Linked DNA regions of Oreochromis niloticus. The protein of the gene in region 1 interacts with the protein of each later gene in a biochemical or structural test. Links are inferred from orthologs where the notes say so. Each region holds a gene or a part of one and is shown on either strand. Other genes may lie near its edges.

What was found.
Region 2: the proteins of cebpb (region 1) and cebpg form a complex in vitro, tested with the Homo sapiens proteins (2 studies listed by BioGRID and IntAct, with this or other methods). The link is inferred for Oreochromis niloticus from reciprocal best matches to the Homo sapiens genes CEBPB and CEBPG.

The regions. Positions count from the first base shown.
Region 1 is NC_031984.2:10,007,485-10,015,755, forward strand, and holds cebpb (CCAAT/enhancer-binding protein beta), read left to right. Parts: upstream 1-5,200; 5' UTR 5,201-5,381; coding exon 5,382-6,263; 3' UTR 6,264-6,770; downstream 6,771-8,271. UniProt on the Homo sapiens protein: Important transcription factor regulating the expression of genes involved in immune and inflammatory responses. Also plays a significant role in adipogenesis, as well as in the gluconeogenic pathway, liver regeneration, and hematopoiesis.
Region 2 is NC_031965.2:37,664,830-37,674,104, reverse strand, and holds the start of cebpg (CCAAT/enhancer-binding protein gamma), read left to right. Parts: upstream 1-5,417; 5' UTR 5,418-5,578; intron 5,579-7,133; 5' UTR 7,134-7,239; coding exon 7,240-7,731; 3' UTR 7,732-9,275. Other genes in the region: cebpa (CCAAT/enhancer-binding protein alpha), read right to left, coding at 1-582. UniProt on the Homo sapiens protein: Transcription factor that binds to the promoter and the enhancer regions of target genes. Binds to the enhancer element PRE-I (positive regulatory element-I) of the IL-4 gene. Binds to the promoter and the enhancer of the immunoglobulin heavy chain.

The DNA.
Region 1 (8,271 bases):
ACCAATAGGCAAGGGGGCTGCGAGGGGCGCGATCGAATTTCCTGACCCCACCCGTCCTGTCTGGAACCCGCTCTGCTCGTGCCCGTGATAGTCCAGAACATTGACTGTAGAAAACAGTGAGCAGGAAACACTAATGCAAATTTAGTGCAGTAAACAGTAACCTTCACTAGGGTCAATAATGTTTTAAGGCGCTGACACAATTTACAGCTATTCCTTAAAAAAAAAAATCTTACATTTCTTTCTACTTTGGGTAGGTCACCGCACTATGTGCCACTTTACGGTACGGTATATGACATTTTCATTTCAGGCATGAAGCTTGCAGCCACGGAGACCACAAATAATGTACTTATTTGTTTTATTTTGTTTTACACACACGTAAGTTTCTGTGGTAATATAAATACGCTTCTAAAGCAAAGGTTCCTTACTAGTAGAGGCTTATTAATGGGTATCGTCAAGGGAGTCTATCCTGTCGTAAATCCTTAACTAACCAATCAGCAACATTGGCAGAATGCTAGAATTTTAGCTGTAAATTATGGTCTCCTGTAAGAAAAAAATGAACTTTTATTTCAGCGCGAACGCACTATTGATACCGTTTAGTGAAAACTGAAATTATATGCGGCATTTTCTGTCTTATAAGTATTTGTAAATGCATTTACTTCAGTCACTTGTTCCCTCAACACTATCTTGAGCGCCCTCTCCTGGTGTTCTACGTGAGTTGCAGCCAATATCTGTGCAATGGAATTAACGGGAAGCGGACTTTTTAGACAACTTTCTTTATGAACAACCACACAGTCAAATAAGGCACTAAGAATATTTATGTACAAAACCGGGTGTACAAAAGAAAGAAACTAGACACTCAAACAGTGCATTAAACTTAAAATAACCAGCCATGTTTATGCATGGTTTAAATTTAAAATTGAATGCAAGTATTTGTGAATAAAAGACTTCCCTAATAATACCACAATCCAGATAATGGAATCCAATTTAGGATTGATTGATAATAATTCCAAATTTAATTAAAATCATTGTTATGTGTGGGCATTGAAGCAGCCTGGACTGCAGCCAGCTTCACACGTAGTTCTAGAAATTAAATTAATAAAAATAGAATCATGAGGTCCACACTTTCAATATCTTTTTTAAACCAGAGTTCACATCCAAATAAAATTTCAGCTTTATGTATTCATTAGTTGGGTAAATCTCATTTAGGAGAGGAAGTGAAACATATTTCTCTGTAACACCTGAACTTCCTCAGAATATAATTCCTTCTTACTGGGTTATGATACATTTCGTCTAATAAAATATTTCTGATAACTTTGTTTGTACACCTACTATGACAAAAGTCAATTATTGTCAGTCTGGGAGAAGTCCTAGAGTACACAATGTCTTCTTTAATCATTGATCTCAGAGGGACCTAGATGGCTCTTGTCAATGTTTTATAGCTCTTAGCAGTGCATCCTAACTTGAACTTTTCTCGGTACACCTCAGGCTGTAATAGATTACCTTTCCAATCCATAAAATGAGCTACATCCGTACACAGATATCGTACCAAGTCTAATGCATCTGGTGTTCCACGCAGGTGTGTTGTGTGGACAAAAAATATGGCTATAGATTCATTTCCAGTAGAGAATGACCTGCTGATAGAAATCTGTTTGACCCCTTTTTCCAAAAATCACACTGGGAATAATGATCAAAAGTAGTGTCTGTTCAGAATCAAGGCTCTAAACCATCTCAGTTTGAAGTACTATTCGTAATATAAAAAACAATGGCATTAGCCCCAACATCTTTATAATTTTTAACCATATCACTTACTAATGTTACATTTATGCCTCCAATGGTGTAGCGGTTAACACGTTTGCTTAGCAAGAAAATTTGGCTGGCTCAATTAAAGCCAGAAACAGCCATCCATTTTGGAGTGTGTGTCCATAAGCACATCTGTTGTAATAAATAAATAAATAAATAAGCATTAAAAACCTATGCCAAATCAAACACATGGTGCTATGTGGCAACAGAGTAGCTGAAAGCTGCTTTTGTTGTTTTGCTATGTCCCTTTGCAGCAATCAGTTTAAAATGAATATTTTGAACTGGTTTATATTTCTTATACCAACACAAATATTCCTATTTTCTGTTCCTATCTCATCCGTATAAATCCATAACATTTCATTTCCTTTTAAATGTGTATTACATCTTGACTGCAGGGGGGACTCATGCAGAGCCAGTATCTCACATTTATTTATATTCAGCTAGAGACCTGAGGCTTTGGGGAAGTGGTTGATCACATGGAAGGTAAAAGGGAGTTAATGAGTTCATTTTTCAGAAAGAGGGTTGTGTCATCTCACTTTTTTGACACATCGTGAAATTTTAAACCAAAACCTTCATGACTCAGTTGGTTTTAACAGGACATAAAAACTTCACACCTATAGAACTTTTTATGTATCAGTTAGTGGTTTTAGATCCACAGAATAAGATAAATTCAACTGGGGTTTCTCAAGGGTCTGTCCTCGGTCCCTTACTCCTTAACCTTTACATGGTTCTGCTTGTTACTATCATAAAGAATCATAATATATCCTGCCATTCCTACACAGATGATGTACATTTGTACTCAGCATTTTCCTCTGATGATCTTACCTGCACTGATGACATTAACTGCTGGATGCCTCCAAACCTTTTAGAACAGAAACAACACAGAGACAGAAAAATGTGATCATATTTGTCATCCCTTTCTCTGAAATACAGTGTGAAAAACAGGAATTTTACCATTTTGGACAGTGTTCTCAGTTTTGATGATCATGTTGATATTCTATTATCATATCATGCACTGTAGATCTATGTGTGTTTGTTTTTTATCTTGGATGTTAGGCACTCTGAGAAATCTGACCTTTTGTAATCTGTTTTTTCATCACACTTAAGCCTTCACTGCAACTATGTGTAATCATAGACAGCATCTCGGCAAACATAATCAACAAAAGTGTTAAGCTGCTAAATCCTTCAGGTATTCCTCTGTTGACCCCAAATCTTGAGCAAGTGCCACGTCACTGCTGAAAACAGGAACAGGTGTTACAGTTACATCTGTCACCTGTGATGCTTCAGCTGCGTATGAGGTTGCCAGTATATGCTCAGGTAAGGTGTCTTAACGGTTCATTGGTTATTTAAAAAATAATGTGACACATTATAAGATTTAAAATAACATGTGACAGGTAATCCCTCTGATCCCCAAAGAGGAAAAATTCAAACCTAGAGATGTTTGTGTGGGAAATCCCAGTAGATCAGTAGTTTCTGAAATATTCAGACCAGCCACATTTAAAGTCATTTTAAAACACCTTTCTTCCACATTCTGATGCTCAGTTTGAACTTCAATAGGTCATCTCGACCATGTCTACATGCATAAATACACTGACTGATTAGATGTGTGCGTTAACGAGCGGTTGAACAGGTGTACCTAATAAAGTGGTCAGTAAGTGTGTATTCTGCTACAAATATGTCAGTGTATGCACAAACAGTCACTGGGAGCCAAAAGCTCATACTTCAGACAGTTCTTCTTAGTCTTGATGACGTCGGTACCAGGGGAAATCCTTATATGGTCTTCTCAACCTCACCCCTGATATTCAAATATTTACCAGGAACAGCCAATCAGAAGAAAGTTGGATTAAGTCGAGCGAGAAGGAAGCTAAACAGCTTGTTTCAGACAGTGGGCGAAGGGAGACTTCTCTAGTAGCAGTCCAAACATGAAAATACAAAGCTTGGAATTAGTATAACAGGTTCCCTTTAATCTGAAAAAGAGACATAAATGAGATTTTTACGGTAAATGCGCCCAGTTTCCGCCATGTGATTGGCGGATTAAATATTTGTCCTAGCTGTAGAAGAAGTGTACCTAATAATGTGGGGAAACGGTGATAGATAGGTTTTTAAAAAGAGGCAGCCAAAGTGTTTCACAAATTAGTAACCACTCAGCTATGGGTGTGTGTAAAAGTCTGTCCTTTTACATAAATCTTATTTTAGTAAACTTGAAACAAGTGGATAGTTCTTTTGAATGTAAAAAAATTTTCACAGTGTGTTTATACTCAGAGAGAAAATGTGTATACGTTATTATTCAGTGATTTAACAGCTCCGGCCTACTTGAGATCAGATTGGATGTTGGCCAGGAACTCAAAACCTCGGTTTTGAGTCAGTTATAATGACTCTTGTCACCAGAAGGTGGCAGTAAGACTTAATCCATAACTATGTCTCTTAACTTTGCTGCTTTTGTGTACTGTTCACACAGCATCTCGGGTTTCTTACAAGTCGATCCCCCCACCACCCCAACACACACACCACCACCACCACCACCATCTCCGGTTCTCCATCATAGGACCTTTTTTGGGAATTCTTTCCTTATCGGAATTGCATGTCTAAGAAAACAGAGAGTGCTGACTGTAAATCCAATTCAGAGGCCACGTGTGACTGGTAACACTGGGATGTTGGGCTTTATTCTAGATTGTATGTTCTGGGAGAAGTGACATATTTGCACAGTGAGCCTGGGTTCAGCCGTGGACCCACTGGACTGTCATAAACCAAACTCACTAAATTTCTCATTACACCCACCTTGACCCTGATACAGTGCTGGAAGAGATGTATCATCTTGTAGGGGTCTACCACAGAACAGCATACTGGTTTAATCTAGTCAGCTCAAAGGAAACAGCTGTCAGGGGCTGCGCTTATGAGTATCGTTGTTATGAGACGATTACGCACGAAGTTAGAAAATGGTAAACATGCCGAGTGGAATTTTTCCATTATTGTCGAGTTGATGAGATCTGACTGTAGAGGGCGTGAAGGGACCCGATGTCAAAACACTCAAAGAATTCCTAACGTATGGTTTTGTTTCGTTATTGCGCTCTTGGTTAGGTACTCACCGTTGTGCGTTTATATTTTCACTTTTATTTTGCTTTTTAAGTTAAGTTTCGTTTGTTTTAAAATCATACAAATGATTGCATTTCCTATCTTGACACTCCTGCTGTAGCCAAGTGCCACAATACCACCAAACAAACAGGGAAGGGGGAGAAAGAGAGAAAAAACCGCTTAAGTGCTTAAGTTCACTTTTTATTGTGTTCAAACGCAGTTCAGTGTGCCAAAGATCCTCGAAAAACAGCACAGGTTGTCCACTTGCCTTGCACGTCACATACCTGAACTCCGCCCCTTGCTAGAAAAAATAAAACCCCCCGAGACAGGAAGAACCTGTCAATTCCTCTCACTCCATGAGCACAAGTTCTTCAAAGTAGTTTACTGCATGTTGTCACGGGAGCTATAGACTCACCACATTCAGACGCATTTCACAGCTCAACCCAAACCACTCAGGGCGTCTCACCTCAGCCCTCCATGCTTCTGCAATCCGGCGGGTGTTAAGATCCATGGAAGTGGCCGGCTTCTACGAGGAGGGCAGCTTTGCTATCCACAGTAGAGACAGCGTTATCAGCCCCATCGGCGGCGGCTCATATTGGAGGCTCGGTGACTCGATGACGGAGCTGGGCATTGAAGAGCGGGAGAGAGCGATAGACTTCAGTGTTTACCTGGACTCAGCTTTGCACTACCCGCAGCTGGCGGCGCAGACGCAGCAGCAGCAGGGGGACGTTTTCTCAGATTTCTTGGCAGAGAACAAGAGAAGAGTTGCAGCTTTGCAGAACTACAAGAACTACTCGCTACTGAACGAGCTGGAGACGAGCCAGTGCGACAACCTGAGGGACCCCAGGGAGCCCTACGCGCTAGGTTACCCGGAGCTGCAGGAAACCCGCGTGGATAGCGTGCTGAGCCCTGAACTCGGGAGCCGCTACAGAGCTGCTGCTGCTGCTGTTGCCGCCGACAGAGAAGACAGTCAGGAAGACGCAAAGATGGAGAACGGCTCGTCTGCTTTTGACATGAGGTCCTACATTCATTACCAGTCCACTAGTGGTAGTCTCGGAAACATCTCCACTGCGTCCTCGACTTGTTCCAGCCCGCCCGGCACACCTGCCCCGTCAGGTAAAAGCAGATCACCATCGCACAGTGGCAAAATGTCCAGCGGGAAGTCAAAGAAACGCCTGGACAAGGACAGTGAAGAGTACAGGCTGAGGCGGGAGAGGAACAACCTCGCCGTGAGGAAGAGCAGGGACAAAGCCAAAATGCGCAACTTGGAGACTCAACACAAAGTGCTGGAACTGGCCGCAGAGAACGATCGTTTACAAAAGCGAGTGGAGCAGCTGTCCAGAGAGCTGGCCACCCTGCGCAACCTGCTCTCTGCCACCGGACAGTGTTAAAACACACACACACACATTCACACACCGGAGACTCTGCACGGATCTCCGTGCTGTTGTCTGATCATCGGTGGACTTTAGAGCCGAAAGGGAATCCACTGTGCTGAAAACGGTACGCTTCACAGGTGAAGACGGCGACCACCAGTTTACAAGGACACTTTGAATGGGACTGAAGGAGTGGGTGCATGTATTGCGCAATCATTCACGACTCTTCACATGTCACCTTAGCTTTATTCTCAGATGTGATTTTTTTTTTTTCTTTTTGTGTGTGTGTATGCAGTATTTCTGTGCAGGTTTTACATACATGCGAGTGAATTTCTACATTTTTTGTGTGTATCTGGAGCAGTGGTTGTCAAGGGAAGAGTTGTGCTGCAGTGAAATGATGCAACTCTTTGTAATAGTATTGGCAATGAATGAAATAAGTCTAATTATTTAATATTGAAAGGTGAAATGCTTTAATTGTACTTGATATTTTATTGAATTAAACAGATTTATACTTTGTTTAAACAATTTCACTTGTAAATCTCCTTTTTTTGTCCCTTTGAGGCAGGTGAAGGCTCAGACAGACAGAAAGGGGCGTTTGCTTGTCTAATGCTCACACTCATCATAGACTGACTGTGTAATACCACATATTTCTCTTACAACATATTGCAGATAAGAAACTGGCTCAGCGGCAAAGCATATTCCTAATCTTTTAATTGAGGCCTGCGTACTGAAATACACCCCAAAAGAAACACGGAGCAGGAATTTGACGTTTCTTCTTGGAGATGGAGGACATTTAAAAAAAAACAAAAGAAAGAAACATTACATTATATTTCAAGTATTTGCTCATGTGGTGTATTCATGAAGCAGAAAATGGCACCCAGTGGTTTGATCAGAAGGTAAATAGAGAAAAATTGACAAATAAAATAGAAAGATGATTTTTATTCCTGAAAATTAAGAAAAAAAAATGCTCTTTGGGTAAATCTGAAAGCTGTAGCACTTCTGTTTACTTAATGATTGGAAGAAAAGTTCTCATATCCTGAAATACATCCAGGCAATTTATGATGAAACGATACTGCTGAGGGCAGCAAAAAGCATAAAAAAAGACTTGGTCACACTGCACGCAGCACAGAAATGGCTTTATCTTTAGCACACTGCTCTGTCAATAGTCTGCAGGGTCCACTGCCCCAGAGAGGGGTTCAAGGTTGCATGGAAATTAATCAGCAACTAACCTCCTCGCACAACCTGAGGTCACATTTCAACAGCCAAGATCTGGCTGGCAGCGAGCGCAAACCTTATTTTAACCCTCAAGTCAGGAAAAAGGAAAAATGTAGAAGTTTTTAAAAAAATGGTAGTAGGTTAGCTACACCAGACACGATAAGTTGACAAACGGTCTGCAGTGGAATTTACCAAGCCCTGACAAGGCAGTTCACTGTGTGCACAATATGAAACATATCTGTCACAAGCAAGCAAATCCCAGACTGAGCAGATAAAGAAAAGGGAGCACGGTGGGATTTTAAAGGATATCTATGACAATTCAGGGTGGGGAATGTTTTTCAACTCTTTCCTCAAACAGCAAAGAAAAGTGAGGCGAGTGAAAAGTGCCTCTGTTAGTTTTTTTTTCTTTTTTAAGAAGTGACACATGTACTACACTGACACTGAAGAGAAAAACGAGGGGAAAAACTCACTTTATCTCCTCTTAATGAAGCATAAAAACTATGTGATGCTGTTTGTGTGCAGTGAGAGATGACATTTAGGATATTTCAACACACTCCATGATGAACAGTTTAGCTTTTAACTGTTGTGCAATATCCTCCCTTTCCAGCACATCACCCCACGAAGAATGCTACACCCACATTTAAATAAGACATTGTTGTACTCTATGTTCACGACAATGGCTTTAAGTGGTTGTGGCTTGGCTTTAATCCCCAAGGCCAATCAGAGAAACAAAGCAATGTTTCAGAGAAGCTCTCCATTGTTTGTCAGCAGGGCTCTTTGCTCCCGTTGCTCTCGTCCTCTCTGCAAGCGC
Region 2 (9,275 bases), on another chromosome or scaffold:
GTGCGGGTGTTGGTGCTGGTGCTGGTGCGGGCTGGGCACCGGGGTCGGCGGAGGTGTAGGGTGCCCTGGCTGGAGGTGCATGGTGGTCTGCGCGCAGTGTGCAATCTGGTACTGGAGGTGCGGCATCTGCTGCTGCTGCTGCTGGGAGTACTGCTGGGGGTGTGGGTGCGGGTGGTGGTAGGTGGGGGGCATGCCCGGGTTCATGTCCTCGTCGTCCCGGGGCTCCTGCTTGATAGCCACCGGTCGGAGGCGTGGAGGATTGTGCTCGTAAAGCGGCTCCATCTTAGACTCCATGTAGTTGGACATGTAGAGCTGCTGGGGCCCCGGGCCGCAAGTCACCGGGTCGTACTCCCCGTTCATCATTTTGAGCTTGTCCTGTCGGGAGCTGTGGTGGAACAGGTCAGCCAGGAAGTCGTCGTTGAACGCTGATGGGTCGATGTAGGCGCTCAGGTCGATGGAGGTCTCGTTGTCTCCGATCTCACCGCCAAGATCTGCCGGGTCTCTGTAGCCGGAGGAGGGCTGCTGGTTCAGGCTGTTCATCAGGGGTCGAGGTGCGACCTCGTACAGGTTAGAGAGCTCCATTGAGAATCTAAACCCGGGCAGGCATGGCGATGAGCTCCGGGAATCCAGGTTGCACAAAGTCGGGTACTAAGGTGAGAGGGGGTTACACAGCTGCAAGCATGCGCTGACCCAAAGCTCGGAGAGACTGTGACGGTTGCAGTGGCTCCGTTTGTACGCGGAAAGAAGCGGAATGAAGCAGCTTCAGGCTTAACTCTGCTGGGCTGATTCCTCCTGCTCAGTAAACTCCGAGCTGTCAAACTGCTGTTATATACAGAGAGGGAGAGGGAGTGGGCGGGCACACGTGCCCGCGCGCGCGCACACACAGCCCTCAGTCTTGCCAGCTATCTGCACGGGAACGCTTCAGAGTCAAACTCGACTCAAACTTTTATCACACACAGCGTCCTGCGCTCCTCTCTGCGCGCTCTGCTCACACATCAGCGCCAAAGCTCAGGCTGGTGAAGACACGCTGAAACCACCCGGAGCAGTTAGAGTCGGTCCGCAAAAGTCACATTAAATATATATATATATATATATATATATATATATATATATATATATATACATATATATATATATGTTTACAAAAACAAATATTGACAAAAATTAATAAATGCTCTGGATTTCAGACGCTCTTCTAGACCGAGCGCGCTGGTGTTCAGCGCGTAACACGATCAGCTTGAAAACCTGTTTTAAAAGAACTAAATTCTTTTCTTTAATCCCCGGGCAGTCTACACCGGGAGACTTTATCTCTGAAAGGAGGGAGCGGCACCTATCAGAGCAGGACGCACAGACTTTATGTGCAAGTTATAAAAGTCGTGAACATCTTCTGGACTTAGAACACGTCTGATGTTAAATAGAATGCGCACTGATGCAAAAACCTGTCATTACTTCATTATAATATGAATATATACCGTCAAGTCCCTGCAAGAAATAACTTCTTTTCTTATTGTAATGTATTTTTATTTCCAAATTCTAAGTCAGGAAGATCCAACACTGAGGCATATTTATTATGACCTGCTTACAATGTTAGATGTGACTTGGGGAATCTGCTTGGATGAGGACGGGTGAGCAGCGCGGAGCAGTGGGGGCAGGGACGGCGGACTGAAGAGCAGGACTGCAGCGCCCTCTGTGAGCAGCAAACAGAGAGATCTTCGTGTTGGGAGCGATTTAAAGCTGCTTGTTTATTTTGTATTTTTATTCCATGCGTATATTTTTACAGGTTTTTGCTTGACCTCCATTTGAAGACAATAATCTGCTTCTTTCTGACAGCCCAGCGCGACTTCTGTCCTTTTTGTAACTGCTGCCATAAAAGTGATTTAGGAAAGGGCAGCTGGAAACAGTAGCACTGAGAATAAAATCAGTGGCTTATAAATGAGGTTCACATTGAGGATGTTGGAATAGAGAATCCTTCGGGGGGCATCTTTGGTTCATTTGAGGAATTTTTAAGCAACCTTGAGGAAGCTTTAGTGGTCCTCAGGGTCTGACTTTTAAAACTAGTGTTGACGGACTCAGCTGGGAAAATGTGAACAACATTTTCTGTTGCACTGGGAAGCTCTTCAGGCCAGAGACTTTCAGAAGGAAGTACCAAGGGTCCTTGAAATGATCTGGAGGAACATGTGTTTTTAAGGAAACAATATAATAATTAAAAAAGTTTAAAACTGGAAAAAATAAGTGTGATGTTCCTAAACTTCAAAGTCAGCATGTTAAACACAAACTAGAATACACAAAAACGCTCAGACAAATATTTGAAGAGCTTTTGTTTGCTTCACTGCAGCTCAGCTGTCAGCACGGTGCGAGGGTACCTCAGATCAGGCCAGCACGTGGACCTTTGACCTCTTCGATCACACGAGCGATTCCTAATACTGCATTCAGCCTTCATTTGTTTTCAGTGACTTTACTTTCATTTTAACAGCACTGGTGACTCTCTGTTGAGCTGAGGCAGCCCTGACCTCAATGACATCACACCATTGTCACCAGTGCTATCAGTGTTGCAGCATTAGTGGTCCTGTACACATTTTCTGCAGCAACAGTGTGGTTGGACAGTAAAAAAAATTAAAAATCACATTGTTTCCAGAAGCAATGTGATTTGAATTTAAGTTGACATTAACCAATCAGACCTGAGAAAGCAGTTTACCAAAAAAGCAAACACTGCACTGGAGTCATGAGTGACAGCTTCGAATTCCACATGGACAGCTGGCCAACATTCACAGCATATTTCCAGACATCAGCACAGTTTGGATGCAGCGCCTAGTGAGAGCAATGCAATGTTTGGTCACGTGACCAGGCATCACTATTACCAAACCTCATGTTGTGTGTGTCTTTGTGGCTGCTTTCAGTCCAGCTCAATTTCATTTATACAGTTAAGTCCAAAAGTTGTTGGACAGTGACTGTTTTTTTGGGGGGGTTGTTTGCCTCTGTACACCACAACAGTGAATTTAAAAAATGAAGCACAGACTTTCAGCTTTAATTTGGGGGGATTTACCAAAAGTACTGAACTAACTGTACTGGAATTACAGCCATTTTATGCACAGTACTGACTTTCACAGGACAATTGACTGACAAGCTGCTTCATGGTCATATGAGGCCTGTTGTCATCTTATGTCATGTGAAATAGTCAGATATAAAATCTGTTGTTAAGTCCAAGAGTTGAAATTGCATTTGATAGCTGGACTTCTCAATGTGGCATCTCAGTGGAAGTGAGGGAGGCCATCGTTCCGCTGAAAAGCCCAAATAAACAGCAAAGACTTTGGTATTGGCCAAATCAAAAATCTGGTGCATTGTTTAAAAGAAAGAACGCACTGACCAGCTCAGCAACACCAAAAGATCTGAAAGAGCATAGAAAACACCTACAGTGCATGATGACAGAATTATTTCCATGATTAAGAAAATACCTTTACAACATCAGACCCAGTCAAGCTCACAAGGAGGGGGCAGAGTCACAATGAAGACTGATAATTAAATGATGCATTTGCAAATGGAAATACAGAAAGTTTACAACAGGTCAGACTGTCAGTAAACATCTAAAAGAGCCTGAAAAAGATCTTGGGACAGATGATGGTTGTTTAAGAATGATGGCCTGGGCATGTATGGCTGCAGTTGAACCGGGTCATGGGTGTTTATTCATGATGTGGCTGCCAGTATAAGCAGCAGGATGAACTGTGGCGTGGTTTCTAGACTTTAGGTAGCCACCCGGTGCAAAGGATTTTTGTCCAGTTATTAAAATCCATCCTAATATTTACACTTAGGAGCCTCTGGAAATGGGAAGCTATGTATTAAAATGACAGTCAATGCACAAGTTTTGTTAAGTGAAAGCTGAAAGTTGCACTGCAATCTAAGGCTACGTTCACACTGCAGGCGAAAGCGCATCAAATCCGATTTTTTCGCCCCTATGCGACCCGTATCCGATCTTGGTCTGACAGTGTGAACGGCACAAATCCGATATTTTCAAATCCGATCTGGGTCACTTTCGTATGTGGTACTGAATCCGATACGTATCCGATGTTTTAGAAAGCGACTGCTGTGTGAACGGTCAAGTCGCATTAAATCCGTCTTTTACGTCACTGACACAAGACAGACGCCAATTATCAGCGCCGGAGAAGCGCCCGATAGGACATCGCGAACGATTTCCTACCATCCGGTGAAACTGTTGGGAAGACAACGTTGGAGAAATGTGAACATTTTATTTTTACTGTATTTTCTGCAGATTCTGACAGAAATCTGCAACTATCCTTTGAAGCACCGCTCCTCTAAAACAGCAAAAAGGATCATTATTAGGTTATCTACATTATTATGTAAATAACAAAATAACTTAAAGCAAAAATCTGGAAACGTAAAGTCCGAAGTCTTTATATTAAGGGCCATCAGTCAAACAATATTGTTTGCTCTGGGTCTAAACAGAGCGAGTTGTGTGACATCTTCTTTTGCGCATGCGGGCCGCTTTGAGCGTTCACACTGGAGAGCGTTTGATGTCGCATTTTATGTGTAGTGTGAACAAGCAGACAAAAAAATCGGATTTGATCAAAAAATCGGAATTGAGCATTAAGACCTGCAGTGTGAACGTAGCCTAATGTTCCACAGAAGAGGCCTGAAGCTGTAGGCTCTGCCTCCCATTCCACTTTTGGAAACTCTAGAAACCACATGTAACCACAGCCTGAGAGAAAAGTGCTGTCAGGATAAATTTTTGTCTGTTTGTTGTGGGTTTGTATCTTCTTTTTATCACTTTTATCACCCGCTTTTTTAATATTTGGGGTTTTTGTCTTTTTTTTTTTTTTTTTTACCTTTTGAAGTTGATCTTTTGTTTTTGTTTGTTTGGGGCTCAGGTCCAGGTGACCTCTGACATCTCGGGGTCTTTGTCTATACATCCCTTCATTTATATTCTCTGGTCACGATTATTATAAATAAAAGCGCTTTGGGTGCCTTGAAAAGCGCTATATGAAATCCAATCCATTATTATTATTAAAACAGTAATTACATTGTTTTTGTGTGTTCCTGGCAGGACCGCGGTTTCATTAAGTGCTTGTGTCACCTGTGAATGTTCTCCAGCTGTTTTAAGGGGTTTCTTCGTACACACGGACATCACAATAGTTATTATAGTGACTGAAGGAAGCGGGAGCGTCGTTACTGAAGGTACGGCCGCTTTGAGAGTGAGTCTCGTCATTCAGAGATGAAGTCATACGTGTTTCAACTCATCTGACCAGCCTCGGTTACATAAACAACGCCGAGAGAAGATAGCAGCGTCTCATTGGTCCAAACACGAATCAATCACAAAGAGCATTGCATCACTCCGCCGCACACTCATCGGTGATTGGCCAAGCGCCCCACTCGCTGCCACCTACTCGCCTGTGATTAGCTCATCCTGGACATTGCCGTACATGGTAAAAGAGATTTCGCAATCGGTCGCTCTCCATGTTACAAACAAAAACAGTCCGAGCTCATACGGACGGGATTAAACTTCGGTTTTCTAGGGAAACTTTCTCATCTTTTGACGGACGGTTGAGCCCGCCGCCTCCCAGTGAAGGTAAAATCGTAGTTTTCTTTCTCTGTAGGTTCGAAACAGCGAAGCTGGCAGTGAACTGATGGCTGTTAGCGACAGGAGCTAACCCGCTAGCTGGCTATGCGCCCGGCTAAACAGGCAGTGTTCGCGTTCGTTAAAAGAAAGCTGTCGTGTTTCGGGCCAAACTAGGCTTAAATCGACGCCTGTCTCAGATCGGGAAAGCTCGACGGTCAGTGGTGAGTCGGTGAGTTGCCTGTTGGTCGCTTCGAGTGAACAGAAAGTTGTCAAAGTGTTCGAAAATTAAAGTTTGGGTACTTTAAAGCGACGTGTTTCGGATCAGTCCGCCTGTTTTGATCTGTTTCGTGTGTTTTCATATTTGTCACACGTCGGTGAAGTCACCAGAAAGCGGTGGTTTTGTGTGTAGCCCCGCATGACTCTGGAGTTCCCCTGTCTTCACACAAAGAGAGCCGCTCGTGATGATGCAACAACAGGCAACCTCTCCGCTGTTTCACCCGGAGCGCTTTCCGCTGCGCACAGCTGACTGGCTGCATAGCAACGCCCCAGCCAATCAGAGCGGCGCTACTAATTGGCCGTGCGGAATAACAATCTGAACAATTATGGTATCGCAGTGATGGAGTAGGAGGAAGAAGATGGTGATGATGAAGCCTCCTAACTGGAGCTAGAAGAACGCTAGGAAAGTGAGGAAATGATGTTCAGAGCTGGAACTTTGACTGACTGACTGACTTCCACCTTCCAGAAATGATAGAAACACATTAAAATGGCTTGTCAGTCCTTTCGTTGCAGAAATAAAATTTAAAAAATCCCTGAACATTTCTGGCGCAGAGCTGCAGAGTGAAATCAAAAAGCTATCAAGTCTGACAAATGTTCAGTGTTTGCACTGTGAAGCTCATATTTAGCAGGACCAGAGCCTGCATCCACTGGTGGAGCCACCGAAAGACGCCAAAGCAGAATCCATAATACCGCCTTTGTGCCCATTTGCGTAGGCGTCTGATTAGTGAATTGATATGGGATATTCAACCAGCACAGACATGCTTGCAGGTGAGTGATGTGTTAGGCTCAGGTAGAATGTTGATTTGGTTAAAAAGTGGGCTTGAACAGTAAGAGATCGACAGGAGGTTCACTGCATAGAGGAAGAAGAGTGGAGAAAAAAATAACAGATCAAAATGATGCGCACAAGTCTCGAGATGCAGCTGTATGATATCAAAGACCACCAGGACGCTTTTCACTTCCTGTCAGCGCACAGGAAGCCAGCAAAGACCGGAACCTCTGACGTTAGGTACCCTAACCCTAATCAGATGGTGTTGTTCTTTCATGTAGATGATAAAAAGTCACCAGTACTTTACTTATTAAAATACCAAATAAAGTCAGTGAAAGGGACGTACTGTGGTTCAGCTGAGGCCTCCACTCCAAACGCGTGGACAGAAACATCTGCACACAGCTGTCTCTGACTTCTTTGTCTTCTTACATGTGTGGTGTTGTCCATGGCTAGTCTGTAGCTTAGTGTTTGCTTTGATTCTGTGTGATGTGCTCAATTAATCTGGTCTGTCTCACCCTCCAGGCTCTGTCCATCTGCAGGACCATCTTCTTTGCTTCTAGTCTTCTATTCAGCTCTACACCTGAGGAGACTCTGGTCAAAGATCAGCACCTGTTGGCAGCACATCCAAATGAGCCGGCCGTCGCAGCCGAAACTAACTGCAACTGACCACAACGGCGTGAGTGTCATCCAGAGCCAGGCCCACGCTGCTTCTTCGTCCCTCCCGGCAGCCGTAGCCGGACTGCAGCAGGTCCCACAACTCGTCCCAGCAAACCCTTCAACCGGAGGTGGCAAAGCCCTCGCCCCCAGCAAGATGAAGAAACCCCCTGCAGACAAGGACAGCGAGGAGTACCGCCAGCGGCGCGAACGCAACAACCTGGCAGTGAAGAAGAGCCGCATGCGCAGCAAGCAGAAGGCGATGGACACGCAACAGCGCGTAAACGAGCTGAAGGAGGAGAACGAGCGGCTCGAGGCAAAGATTAAACTGCTGAGCAAAGAGCTGAGCGTGCTCAAAGACCTCTTCCTGGAGCACGCTCACAACCTGGCTGACAACGTCCAGCCGTCGGCAGGCGCGGAGGGTTCCAGTCCCGCCCCCAACAGTACCTCCACCAATGGGCAGTGAGGAGGGTAACCACCAGGATGTTGAATATCTGCAGCTTTTGTGGAAGCTTCTCCCTTTGGGAACGAGGCCCCACTTCTTCTTCATGGCTTTTTTTTTTTTTCTGATTATCAGTTTTTATTTAACCTCTTAATAATTCAACACCATCATCATCCAGTTCGCCAAAATAACCGCCAGTGTTCCCACCGTCTACCCAGAACAGCTGGAATCATTTTAGAAGAAAAAGCTTAAAACATGTTTTCTGGAAATATCTTTTAAAAATTGAAAAGATCCACTGAAGTGTGACTTTTAAAATTGAAAGCCAGTTAGTCTGTGATGTTTGGCTGGAAGCCTCCAGCTGTGTCATCGCTCCTCTGATTGACTCATTGATTTGGGGGAACGTGATGCGATGTGAACTCGTATAAACTGAGTCGTCATCTGTCAGGATTCTCTGGAACAAAAAAAAAAAATCACCACACATTTCCTGCATTTCCTCTTCCTGGTGGCGGAAAACCCCCGGTTCAGTCTGATGAAGACGGCCGTGGCCATCGCTGAGTGCTCCGCAGCCACAGGATGGACTTGTAAATGCTAAAATTCCCTTTTTCAGGATGTGTATTTTCTTCTGTTCTTCTACAAAGAGTTTGTAAAACAAAAGTGTTTTTATTGTTAAGTACATTCACTACATGTTGATGTTTTAAGCACAGTTCTGTTTGTGTGTGTGTGTGTGTGTGTGTGTGTGTGTGTTTGTTTTGTTTTTTCATGACTCGTGTTGTTTAAGATCAGAAATGGAAAAACACTTTTATATCTGACTCTGAGTGAAAACAGAGGGAGGGTTAGGGTTACAGACACACACACACAGACACAATTATCCTTTACTGGGTGGTTTTATTAACATGTTTGAGTTGCACACTTTTAATTTTTGGGTCTGAATCGCGGAGTCTTTCCTGCAGAGGCGGTGCATGTTAAACCTTGGTCTCCTGCCATATCAGTGGCTGCCCGAAGCCTTTAACGGCTGAAGCCGGCAGCGCTCGGCCCTGACGAAGCAGAACAAAATGCTAATTTCACTGGAAATGGAAACAGTGGCTGTGTGCACATCTTTAATACACGTCACAGCTGATTGGTGTTAAATGAGAAAATAAACCTCTAAACTCATTTCACGCCACTTCAGAAAATCTCAAGTTTAGACTCTGAACAGATGGACTTAAACCTGTTAATAGGACATCTTTAAGTAAAAATAAAACCACTTGTTTATTTGACAGTATTGACAATCACGGGGCCTCCAGCAGTGTCAGAGTGTAAAAATCTATACATTATGTGTTTATTTTTGAAAATTATCAGCGTGTTTTCTTTTAGTTTCACGCTGAAGATTTGAAGCTTTAATCAGGGCGTTGACAGGAAGTTGGGGCATCCATCCTGCTGCTGATATGACAGCAAGACCATGTTGTTGTGTTGAAACTGTGTAAAGGTGGAGGTGTGCGCAGGACGAACCCCCTCCCGCCACCTGTCGGAGTGGCCCGTCCAGACAGGTGTGTTTGTGTGTTCGCCGCTGGGCGGACCCAGACACCTCA